Coturnix japonica: one gene and its partners. The protein of the gene in region 3 interacts with the protein of the main gene of each other region in a pairwise test. Links are inferred from orthologs where the notes say so. Each region holds a gene or a part of one and is shown on either strand. Other genes may lie near its edges. The genes, in order: SH2D4A, SH3BP2 and DBNL.

The links.
Region 1: the proteins of DBNL (region 3) and SH2D4A interact in binary tests that used the Homo sapiens proteins (3 or more experiments, as listed by UniProt). The two-hybrid records come from large-scale screens. The link is inferred for Coturnix japonica from reciprocal best matches to the Homo sapiens genes DBNL and SH2D4A.
Region 2: the proteins of DBNL (region 3) and SH3BP2 interact in binary tests that used the Homo sapiens proteins (3 or more experiments, as listed by UniProt). The link is inferred for Coturnix japonica from reciprocal best matches to the Homo sapiens genes DBNL and SH3BP2.

The regions. Positions count from the first base shown.
Region 1 is NC_029519.1:30,070,003-30,072,901, reverse strand, and holds part of SH2D4A (SH2 domain-containing protein 4A), read right to left. Parts: intron 2,713-2,899; coding exon 2,582-2,712; intron 2,122-2,581; coding exon 1,901-2,121; intron 482-1,900; coding exon 389-481; 3' UTR 1-388. UniProt on the Homo sapiens protein: Inhibits estrogen-induced cell proliferation by competing with PLCG for binding to ESR1, blocking the effect of estrogen on PLCG and repressing estrogen-induced proliferation. May play a role in T-cell development and function.
Region 2 is NC_029519.1:74,767,096-74,770,743, reverse strand, and holds part of SH3BP2 (SH3 domain-binding protein 2), read left to right. Parts: intron 1-2,001; coding exon 2,002-2,141; intron 2,142-2,666; coding exon 2,667-2,769; intron 2,770-3,648. UniProt on the Homo sapiens protein: Binds differentially to the SH3 domains of certain proteins of signal transduction pathways. Binds to phosphatidylinositols; linking the hemopoietic tyrosine kinase fes to the cytoplasmic membrane in a phosphorylation dependent mechanism.
Region 3 is NC_029537.1:46,471-50,734, reverse strand, and holds the start of DBNL (drebrin-like protein), read right to left. Parts: upstream 2,876-4,264; 5' UTR 2,781-2,875; coding exon of another isoform or gene 2,739-2,780; intron 2,381-2,738; 5' UTR 2,364-2,380; coding exon 2,268-2,363; intron 2,085-2,267; coding exon 2,010-2,084; intron 1,930-2,009; coding exon 1,783-1,929; intron 1,552-1,782; coding exon 1,474-1,551; intron 1,344-1,473; coding exon 1,192-1,343; intron 1,106-1,191; coding exon 1,063-1,105; intron 960-1,062; coding exon 882-959; intron 751-881; coding exon 648-750; intron 554-647; coding exon 461-553; intron 90-460; coding exon 1-89. UniProt on the Homo sapiens protein: Adapter protein that binds F-actin and DNM1, and thereby plays a role in receptor-mediated endocytosis.

The DNA of each region.
Region 1 (2,899 bases), on a different chromosome or scaffold from region 3:
TGCCTTCAAGAAGCTATGATCTTATTCAATTTTATGTAGCAATCTGTTTCCCAAACAGCAGGCAACCTTGCATTCAAGAGCAAAACCCAGCTTGAACACAGGTATCCCTGAGGAAATCTGCAAAATCTCTGTTCAACTGATTCTTCAATGTCTAATCCAGAACAACATGCATGGTGTATCTGGGTGTTTTGTAGCTTGCGGGGCTGGTGCATCCTTTCTCTCTGTTGAGACAACAAGCCTGTGACAGCACTTATTCTCCCACTGCTTTGTTGTGAAGGATTTGAAATAGAGGCACTTATGGCAAGTTTCAGGTAAGCATCAGTAGCTTCCAGTTTGAAATCCAATCTTGGTGAAAACGGCATGGTGCTACGTAATGAGACTGGGAGGCTCACTCGAAAAGGGAGATGTAATCTGGTTCATGGTCCTCTTGACCACATGGATAAAGCAACAGCTCCTTTCCCATAGAGGTGATGGGTTCATCCTGTTGACAGAAAATGCAATTAAACACTTTTCAAACAGGTCAGTTTACCTGGAATATCACAATATATTGCCACTCCATGACTGTGTGGACCTATTAGTCTCACTGTGTGATATGTCTCAGAGCCCTGGGAATTCAGGATGCAGATCTGCATGGCTGGCTTCTGCCTTCAAGAAAGTGTGCTTGTTATAGTAATCCAGTGACATGATTCTGGTAGGTCTTGGAAATAGCTGTGCTTGTCTTGTAAGCAGCTTCTACAGTGTGAAATGCTGTCCTGCCTAGGAATTTCTGGAGTAAGGATTGTGTGGCATGCAAGTTAGTGGGACTGCAAGCTTGCTGCATTTGCACTAGCACAGGTGGGGTGCCCACAAGTGGGAGTTGTGTTTGTGAGAGGGATGGGACTGGACCCTGCAGTGAACATGTGCCTTCTGCTTTGGCAAGCCTGTTTCTAATGAGAATTCCCTGGAAACTGTTTCTGTTTCCCATCCTGTTCTCAATCTCAGCAGCAGATACATGGTGGGAATTTGCCTTTTTTTTGTGGTCATCCAGTGGGTGACGAATAGAACCCACTGGAGCATGTTATCTGGGTAGGTTTGCCCTGCTCCCACATACATCTGCTGTAGTGCAATAGAGTCCGTAGGATTCTTTGCAGACTGTGGGTGTGACTCTATCTTTAATACAGATATCTACAGCCAGGCTTTAAATCTTCCAGCTCTGGTGCCAGTAAGTTGTCTAGCTCCTGCTTCCAACAGGTTCAACCTGGACTGTGAAACCTACATAAGAAGCAGGTTGAAGAAGCCCAGATAGATTTTCACATAGCAAATGAGTGTAGATATTTTTTCACCTACCAGTTTTGGTTAATCGTGTCTAAATTATGCTAGGCTCTTACTTGGAGCCTATGCAACTGCAGTCGGTGCTAGCAAACACTTGGCGTTACTGTTGTAAGGACTTGACAGCCTTCTTCCTTCCCTTCCATTATTTGCTACCCTTGCTCCATATCATACCTTGTCTGTTTTGAAATTATAAATATACCTTGTTCTCTTTCTTTCTGAAGCTGGAGGTGAACTATTTTCAATTTATTGAACTTGCTGGGACCCCACAACCACTGAGAAAATCATAAAAAGTCTGAATGCTTTCATCTATTGCCTTATCAGCAGTTCTGCTAAATAATGTGATTGAGCCCCATACAAGGTGTTCTGCCTGCTTGAGGGGGAGCAGTTAAGGTCTAAGACATCTGAGATGTATGTGGGTGTCCCCACTGGTCTCACATACCCTTCTGGAATGGCACATATAATACCCAGTAGTAGCTAAAATGGGACTAGTTAACTACATTATAACAACTGAATCTGATGCTTCTTATTTTGAAGTGCTTTGAGGCAAATACATAAACGGTAGTTAATGAGTTAATTGCTGGAACTTCACCTTGTGGTAGTCAACAAGGTCAGCCAGTGTTGAATGTTGTAGCTGGTCCACTCCAAGGAAGCTGTAGGAATCGCTGGAGGCATCAATAAGGAAGTGTTTACATCCCTCTGCAGACTGATAGGAAAGCACGTAGCCTTTGATTTTCTCACTGACACGGACCAGAAAACTCCCCGGCACTGTTTTACTCAGAAGCTCCTCTGCTTTTCTAGAGGTTAGGATACCTGTTCAAAGCCACAACACAGAACTGAAGTGAGAAAAGCATTTGTGCAGGAGCAGATGGAGCAATTCTCCCAATAAACCCTTTTTTACCATTCTAAAAGTAATTCACAGTGCTTCTATTCCCTGCTTGTTTTCTGGCCCACTATTACAAGAAAGGTACTGCCATTGCTGGTAGCAGACCATGGTGTCATGCTAACTGTGCTTTGTGCTAACTGTTCTACATCCAGAATATTAGGCTTATCAGCTAGCTATGCGAAGTCAAGATCTGGCTTCCACTCCAAGACTTTAGCTTGAACTTTGTCACAATTAGAGAAATTCATACTCTTGTACATATTAAAAATAGAAAATGTTGCTAGCTACCTTCAAAAAGTTCCTGGGAGCAGTCTGTTGTAGCAGCCCTGTAGTTGTAGTAGAAACAACTCCTTAAAAGGTTGAGTTGGGGCGAAAGTGCTCAGGACTCACCATGAAACCAAGGTGCTATTGTGTCTGTGTTTTTTTGATAGCCAGCTCGAAGGGGGAATTGCTCTTCTTTGAACCACCTGATGATGCTTTCTTCAGCTGAACTGGAGATTGTCCTCTGGATTCCTTCTTTCCTGTTACAAAAGACAGTGATCTGTGGATCAAGTTCAAATGACAGCTTTTGGATCCTGGCAAGAATTGCTTTTTGTTCAGCGTGATAGGAACAATGCTAAATAGAAGGCTTACAGTAATGCAGCTATGAACAAAATTGTATGGTTTTCAGTGGACACCTATCAAAGAGGACGTACTACATATTTTAGG
Region 2 (3,648 bases), on a different chromosome or scaffold from region 3:
ACCAGGAAAACCTTCAAGAGCATCAGTTCTTCTTTCATCCCACCCCTAAAATAAAGATCCTGGGGATATTTTGTTTTGACAGCTTTCTCCCAGCAGCAGGATGCAGAGCAGCAGTTAGTGTCCTTCTAGGATTGCTTTGTATGCTCAAAATAAAACAAAATAAAAACCAATCTGCTTGGGAATAGATTCAAAGTGTTGCTTTAAGAGAGCTATTTCAAATGTTTCAATCTGGAATACCAGATTATACACACATACCCTGTGTGTCAGGAACTGCAGCCCCAGCCTACATATGAGAATAGGAAGTGGGAAAAGTTACAGTGGAATCCAGAAAATACCCATAGTTAAACTGAAGGGAAAGCTCTGTGTTTTAGGTGGAATATGTACTTGCCTGCAGGGAGTTCAGCCACACCTCCTTGATTCGCTCAGGTGGATGGGGAAGTTTGAAGGTTTGGTTTCAGAACTGTTTTATTGTAAATCTGCAAAGATAAGGAATGATCCTTGAGAAGAGGAAGCAGAACCTGATACTTTGTTGTCCTTCCTTTTGGTTAAGTCCTGTACTGTCTGCGCTGTAGAACTGGATTCTTTACCCGCTTGTTTCTCTGTTCCCATGCAATGTTTTTGTTGTCTTCCAGCTATTGTGGCTTTCCAGCAGCTATCCATGTAGAGGGCTGCCATGACCTAGGCAAATACTTGTGCTTTCTGTATTTACCCAGGGAGGGATACCCTTGTCCCCAGTGTTTGCCGTTGCCTTCCTAGAATCTCAGCTTGTGGTTGTTTTGGATCACCTCCCTGAGGTACTTAACTCTGCCTCTTCTGAAATGTTTTCAATCTAAGTCAGTCTAACACTGAGATTATTGCTTAATTCCAGTGGGGAAGTGCTGAAGTCCTTTCTTTTGCTCTTTGCTATTTAAAAACAAACCCGTGATGATCTTCAAACCGTTGGCTGGCACTGAGACTAACGCTAGAGTCAGATGAAGGAATCTGAGACCAGGGTATATCTGGCTGAATAAGAAGTTGCAACTTTTGCTTCATCTCTTTTTCTGAATATAATTAGAAACAGACTGAAATCATTTAATCGTAAATTAGTTTCAAATGTTTGAATGTCGATGTACTAGCTCTTAAGTAAAGAAATTTGCCCAAGACTTGCCTTTGTGTTCCTCGTTTCAAGGAAATAATGACTCTTAGTACTGCAGTGTAGCTTGGCGTTAGTAGCCTGCTGGTTGATGCCCTGTTACCCTCTGACTCTTCTGAAAGATGTGGAGAAATTATTTGAAGATTTCATTTTCTGTTTTGGTTTTAGATTTAATACTTTTTACTATTTTAGTAATTCTCAAGTTCTTAAATATTATAGGTCCATTTCTTGGACCTGTGTAAGGTGGTGGCAGTAACAGTGGGAACTGCGTAGGTATTTGGTGGAACATGGCATTAATAACGGATGTATGAGTGAAGACATCCTGCAGCAATCTGAGATGGATTTGATTTGCATTGTCATGTATGATGTTCAGTATAAGATTACACCCTGATGCTAGTAGTTAGAATAAAACATACAAATGTGGGAAGCATGTTATTAATCACTGCATGCGGTTGATCTGACCGTTGGTTCCCTTGCTGTACAGAAAACTACACTCAGTGCCCATGTGTGGTATGAAGCTTTAGAGAAGAAACTGATTTTCTTTCTAGTCTTGGTGTTATCATCTGAGACAGGTTTAAGATATAAATAGCCAAATAACATTTATTAAGCACTCTTCAATTTCTTTGACCGCTGTCAGTCACATTTGAGAACTGTATAAAAATAAATCGGGACTTTCTGCGCTGTGTTTTTTATACCTCACAAACTTCCTGGAACCTATGAGCACGCGTCTGTCCTGCATACTTGGCTGCTGAACCATGTTAGTTGTTTGGAAAACTTGGTTAAGGAAACAAGCTTTGTTTCTCAGTCCTCATTTCCTGAAGTAAAATCTAACTTTGAAGCTGCTCTTAATTAATTATTCTAAATTGCAGGAAGATGGCCTCAGAGGAACAAGTCTGGCCAGTCCCAATGAAGGCAATTGGAGCACAAAACCTTTTGACGATGCCTGGAGGAGTGACCAAATCGGGCTATCTTCATAAAAAGGGAGGCACTCAGCTGCAGATCTTGAAGTGTAAGTTCAGTGGAGTTTAATTTGTATTCTAGTTATTTCCAATGCCTGTTTACAACTAAGCTGTGTTTATACAACTAAGGGCAAAGATTACTGTCTTTGATAAAGGCGAAAGGAGAGTTGGCACTTAGTTTGAAAGAAAGAAGCACTTTATTACCAGCTTTATGCATGTGTATTCTGTCACCTTTAAGAAGAAAGGAGGAGATATGTTCACCCCAAATTGTAATATGTTGATCTAAATAGCTATTTGTAGCCCATGTTTGTATTCCTCTTACCTTGTTTCAGGCTGCACTCTTATGTTAGCTTGTACCTCCAGAGAAAGGTGGAGGTCAGGCTTACAGTCTGGGGTTTCTTTTGAAGAGCTTCATGTGACTGGTCAGCAGCCAGCTGCCACTCCTCTTCTTTGTGCCCTTCTATAAGGATTAATGAAATCCACTTGGCATCCTAACTTGTGTACAGCTATTATTCTAGAATTGAGGAACGTGCTGCCTTTGGATTTGTATCATACTTGCTTTTTTTCTTTATCAGGGCCATTGAGATTTGTTATTATCCATGAGGGATGCATTTACTACTTCAAGACCAGCACATCTGCATCTCCACAGGGTGCGTTTTCTTTGAATGGTTACAACAGGTGAGTGCCAGAACTTAATGCTTTAAGCCCTTGTACTTAATGGTGGTAGGAGCTACCTTTCGTTTTGAGTAGTTAATTCAGCAATGTTTGTTGTTTTGGTCAAGCACTGGTCTCACATTCTGAGAGACAAATTCCTTTCAAATTGTGTGTGTGTTTCCAGTGCTGTGCAAGCGTATACCCTTCGTTGTTTGTAATTGCTCTGCATTGGGTTTGTGTTTGTTCCTTATTTAATGTGGACTTTGCACACACAGAGATGTATTGCTTTGGGCAAAGTAAAGTTCCTGATTCAGTAACACTCGTTGGTGTCAAAATTGAATCAATTACAGGAGTAATAAAATGAGAACATACATGTGCAAAATATCTGACTCTTTACACTAGGCATTATAAATTTTAACGTTTGCTTTTTAAGTTGAAGACAAAAATAAATGGCTTTCAAGTCCATCAGAATCTCTCTGAGTGCGCATGTACTGAGCCTACAGACTGCACTCAGTATTAACCTCAGGAAATTGGTGTTGAATATGATGCTAAGAAAAGACAAGGAAGATGTAGAATGTAGAGAAATGAGCTGTTGTTGGTCCTAACCGCTGCAGTTTATTGTGTTCGTAAATGTGCTTGTTGTTCCTGCACTGCATAATGCTCTCAGACCTTTAGGATAAGGAAATCTCTCTCATTGTGGTGGGAAGGTCTTTTAACTGGCCGCCACAGCAGGGTATCTGCTAGGAATGCTGCTATAACATGGCCATGATACCAGCTTCTGTAATCATGATATTATGAAAAATGCTATGGATTTTGTAATTCGTGGGAACTCTTATTGCTTTTTACTTAACTGCGTATCTGCAACCACCCTGGTTGTAGAACTGGGACCAGCTCATAGTTAAT
Region 3 (4,264 bases):
GGGTTCCTCATAGATGGCTGCGCTGTCAGCTGCGTCCTCATACACGTTCTCCCCATCCGTGTGGGTCCCCATTGGGCTCACATTGTGCCCTGCGGGGGGAATGGCGGCAGCTCACTCATAGTGCTCCCCCCATAGCAGTGGGGTTACAGAGCCCTGAGTGGTGTTTCCTGTTTGGGGGGGTGCGGGGGAAGGGGGGAGCTCGTGCCCAGTGTGAATCATTGCCTAAAATACCGCAGATAGCAACGCTAATGGGAAGGGCTGCGCCGGAGCTTGGCCAACAGCAGCATCTAGCGGTGAGTGCGGCCCCACAGCACCGTGCTGCCAGGGGGGTGGGGGGTCATGGAGTCATGGCAGGACTGTGGGCAGCTCTGAGCCTCTGTGCCCCCACCCAGCACCACGTCCAGGTGGGTCGGGGGTCTCCAGGAGGAGCCCAGGTCCCAGGTGGGCGCACAGCACACACCTGCAGCCAGCACCGGTGATGGGTCCAGGACGGTGGGGGTGGGGGTGGGCACCGAGTCCGGCTCCCGCTGCAGGAATGGGCTGCGCAGTTTGCCTGCAAGAGAAGAGGGGGAGTTCAGGGGGGTCTGCAGATCCTCCCCTGCCTGGGACTGGGTGCCCACATTCTCCCCCCACCCTGAGACCCTCACCTGGCTGTGCAGCAGCCGCAGCATCACCAGGTGCCGCCTGCTCCCTCTGCACAAAGATGTCCCGCGGGTTCCCTGGGCGCTGTGCAATCAGTGACGCTGCCTCCTGCGTGTAGAGCAGAGCTCAGGGTGGGGGGAGAGTCCAGTGGGTGAACCCCCAGCTGTGGGGCTGTGGGGCTGTGGGGCTGTGGGGCTGTGGGGCTGTGGGGCTGTAGGGCTGTGGGGCTGTGCTCTCACCTGGGCTTTCTCCACTGATTCACTCCTTCGGACGCTGCGGCGCTGCCCGGCCTCGTGCTCCTCTGCCTGCTGCTCCTTCTGTGGCACCAGAGAGGAAAGCGATGGCCCCACCATGTGGACCCAGGGAATGAGCAAAGGGGGCATCTGCACCCAAACACCCCAGGGACAGCACGAGGCTCACCCACTGCTGATGCTCCTGCCTCTCTGCCTCCTGCTGCAGCCTCCTGCAGGGAGATGGAGGGTGACAAAGGGGACAGAAGATGACAGAGGGTGACGGGGTCACAAGGGGCTGGCGGTGCTGAGGACTCACTTCTGGGCCTCGATCTGGCTGGAGCGCGCCTGGAACCTCTGCTCCCTCCCTGCTGCCTCCTGCAGTTCCCTCTCGCGTCGTTCACGTTCCAGCCGCTGCCGCTCCTCCTCCATGCGCCGCTTCTCCTCCAGGCGCCGGTTCTCCTCATCCTTCTGTTGGGTGCACACACCACCTCAGCCCCACTGCGCTGCCATGCAGCCTGCACTGCTGCACTGCAGCCCTCACCCCATCTCAGCCCCACTGCGCTGCCATGCAGCTGCACTGCTGCACTGCAGCCCTCACCTCAGCCTTGGCCCAGAAGTGGTCCTTGTTGACCCGCTTGATTTCTGACATGGCGTTGGTTTTCTGGTAGACGGAGCCCTGTGTGGGGTGGGCAGGGGGGGTCAGAGCGCTGCACAAATGACCTTCCTGCATTCCCTGCAGAAACACGCTGACCCCGCTGCTTTGTGCTGCCGTTGTGAGGGATCGCAGCACGGTTGGGTGGGATGGGACCTCACTTCCCCAGCCCCATCCCACGGTACCAACACCAGCACCGACCCATCTCCCATACTCGGTGCTGTCACCCCAGCAGTGCCCCAAACCCAGACTCACCACGGGGCCCTGTGGCCCGGCATCCTGGAAGCGGCTGCTCTCCTTATGGAAGCTGTAGTTGGCCCCCGAGGCTTTGGCCACCTTCTGCATGATGAGCTCGGGCTCCACATCCTCCTCCGCTCGAGCATTGATGGTGACGTGGGCACCCTGCACGGGGACATCAGGCTCGGGGTAGCACCGAGGTGGCTTCCACAGGGAAAGAATGGGGACAGCAGAGCCGAGCAAACCTTCAGGAAGCTGGCAACGGTGCTGACATGGTTGGCACACGCTCCTTTCCGCACATCATTGACACCCTCACCCGTCTGCATGGAGAATCAATGGCAAACCAACAGAACAGCAATGGAAAACCAACAGAGTACCAATGGAACAGCAATGGAAGAGGCAATGGAACAGCAATGGAAGAGCAGTGGCACCACGAGCCCCTCCCCAGCAGCTCTTTCCCAACCCTTTGCTTTGGGATGTCCCACATCCCCATCCCAGCTCACCCAGTTGACGAGGACGTATTTGGGCAGGCCAGAGTTGGGGTCCTTCACCCTGCAGAAGGCGTACATCACCTTGCCGCTGTTCAGCTCCTCCACCATCTCCTCCAGGCCGCCCTCTGTGCCGGGACAGGAGCGGGGCTGGGCCAGGGGACACCGACCACATCCTGGCTGCCCCCAGGGAGCCCACAACTCCCGGCATCCCCAGCAGCACGTGCACGGGAACCACTCAGGAATGAGGAAACCCACAGAACACACTCCCACCCCCAAACCCTTCCTCATAAACGCCCCCAAAGCAAAAGGCAGCAGCACCACAACGGCCAGCCCCAAACCCAGACCCCCTCACAGCAGGAATGGGCCTTCAGCCTCCATTGGCAACCGAAAGGGGTTATGGGGCAGAGCGGGAGGGGTGGGCGGAACGTGCCGGCATCACTTCCCCATTTGTAATAAGGCGCCCAGAGCTGGGGCACAACTCACCCCCGGTGCCGGCCACGCGCAGGTCGTTGCTGTTGCCTTCATAGGTGAACAGAGCCCTGTGGGTTCGGGGGGGGCAGAGTCACGTCCCCAGCCCCAAAGCGCTGCACCCACCGATACCGAGCCCCAGCTCCCGGGCATCCATTGAGCCTCATGCACTAAACCCCCCCCACCCCACAGCCCCACAGCCCACCAGCGCGGCACCCGCATACCCGCCAACCCCCGTCCCGCAGCCCAAGCCCCCAGGCACTACCACAACCCAGCAGCCCCATGCCCCGCCCGCTGCCCCCCCGACTCAACAGCTCGGGCATCCTCACCCCGGCACCGACGGCAGCCACGGCGACCTACCAGCGGGCTCCCCCCTGCCGGCGACCCACGTGGGACCGTTGCGCCTCCACCCGAACTTAGAGAAACCCACCACGCATCTTTCTGATGCCCCGCCCCACGCTCTAGCCCGAACCAACACAGGCACCCACCCACACCACGTACCACCTCCATCCCCCAAAAGCCCACATCACCATCACCCCCCCATCACCCCCCTACACCCCACCCACCCACATCCTCCTTCCACTTTCCCTCCCGTCGACCCCCCAGGCCCCCCGCCTCCCCCTGCCCCCCCCGCTCTTCCCCCCGCCCATCAGGTGCGGTGTTGCTGCGGTCCGCCACCACTTCTACCGGTAGGCCTTACCTGCAGCGCCCGCCCGTTTCGCTTGCTGAGGTCTCAGCCGCCATGGCAGCGCGCAGCGGTCCGCCACGCCCCGCCCCCGCCCCATACAAGGCCCGCCCCCGAGCCCCGCCCATCCGGGGACGCCCCCGCCGTTGGCCACGCCCCCGATAGACCACGCCCCCCACGGAAGCCCCGCCCCCATGGCCGCGGGCGCGCGCTGCTCATTCGCCCCCCTGAGGGGGGGGGACACGGGCATGGCGCGATTGTCACCCCCCCCCCCAACCCACCCCCCACCCGTGTCCCCTCCTGCGTCCCACGGACACCGCGGGGCGTTGGGACACGGGCTCCCCCAGCCGCCGTGGGACCCCCGTGTACAGTGTGTCCATGGGGCACCCTGCTGCCCCCCCCCATGATGACATGGGGCAACTCCGAACACCTTGAGCCACCCACGGGACCCCCAGACACCCCGGGACCCCCAGACACCAGGAGCTTCAGACCCCACGCCCCCCCCCACAGGCACCACGGGGCTCCCAGGCAGCCCTGGATACACCATGGGGACACTGGGACCCTCGGGCAACCCAGCCCCCCCCCCCCAGATGACATGGGACCCCCTGGGCACCCCCGGCCACTCTGGGACCCCTGGGAGCCCCCCAGCCTCCATTTGGCCCCGGGACCCCCGGACAGCCTGGCACGGCCCCAGGACCTGTGGATGCCATGGGACCCCTGAGCACCCCGAGTCCTCCAGCCACCCCAGGAGCCCCAACCACTATTGGGACCCCTGGGGACAGTGGGACCGTGGGACACCATGGGACCCCCCCCATCCTCCATGTGAGGGGCTGCCTTCAAACACCCCAAATTGGCA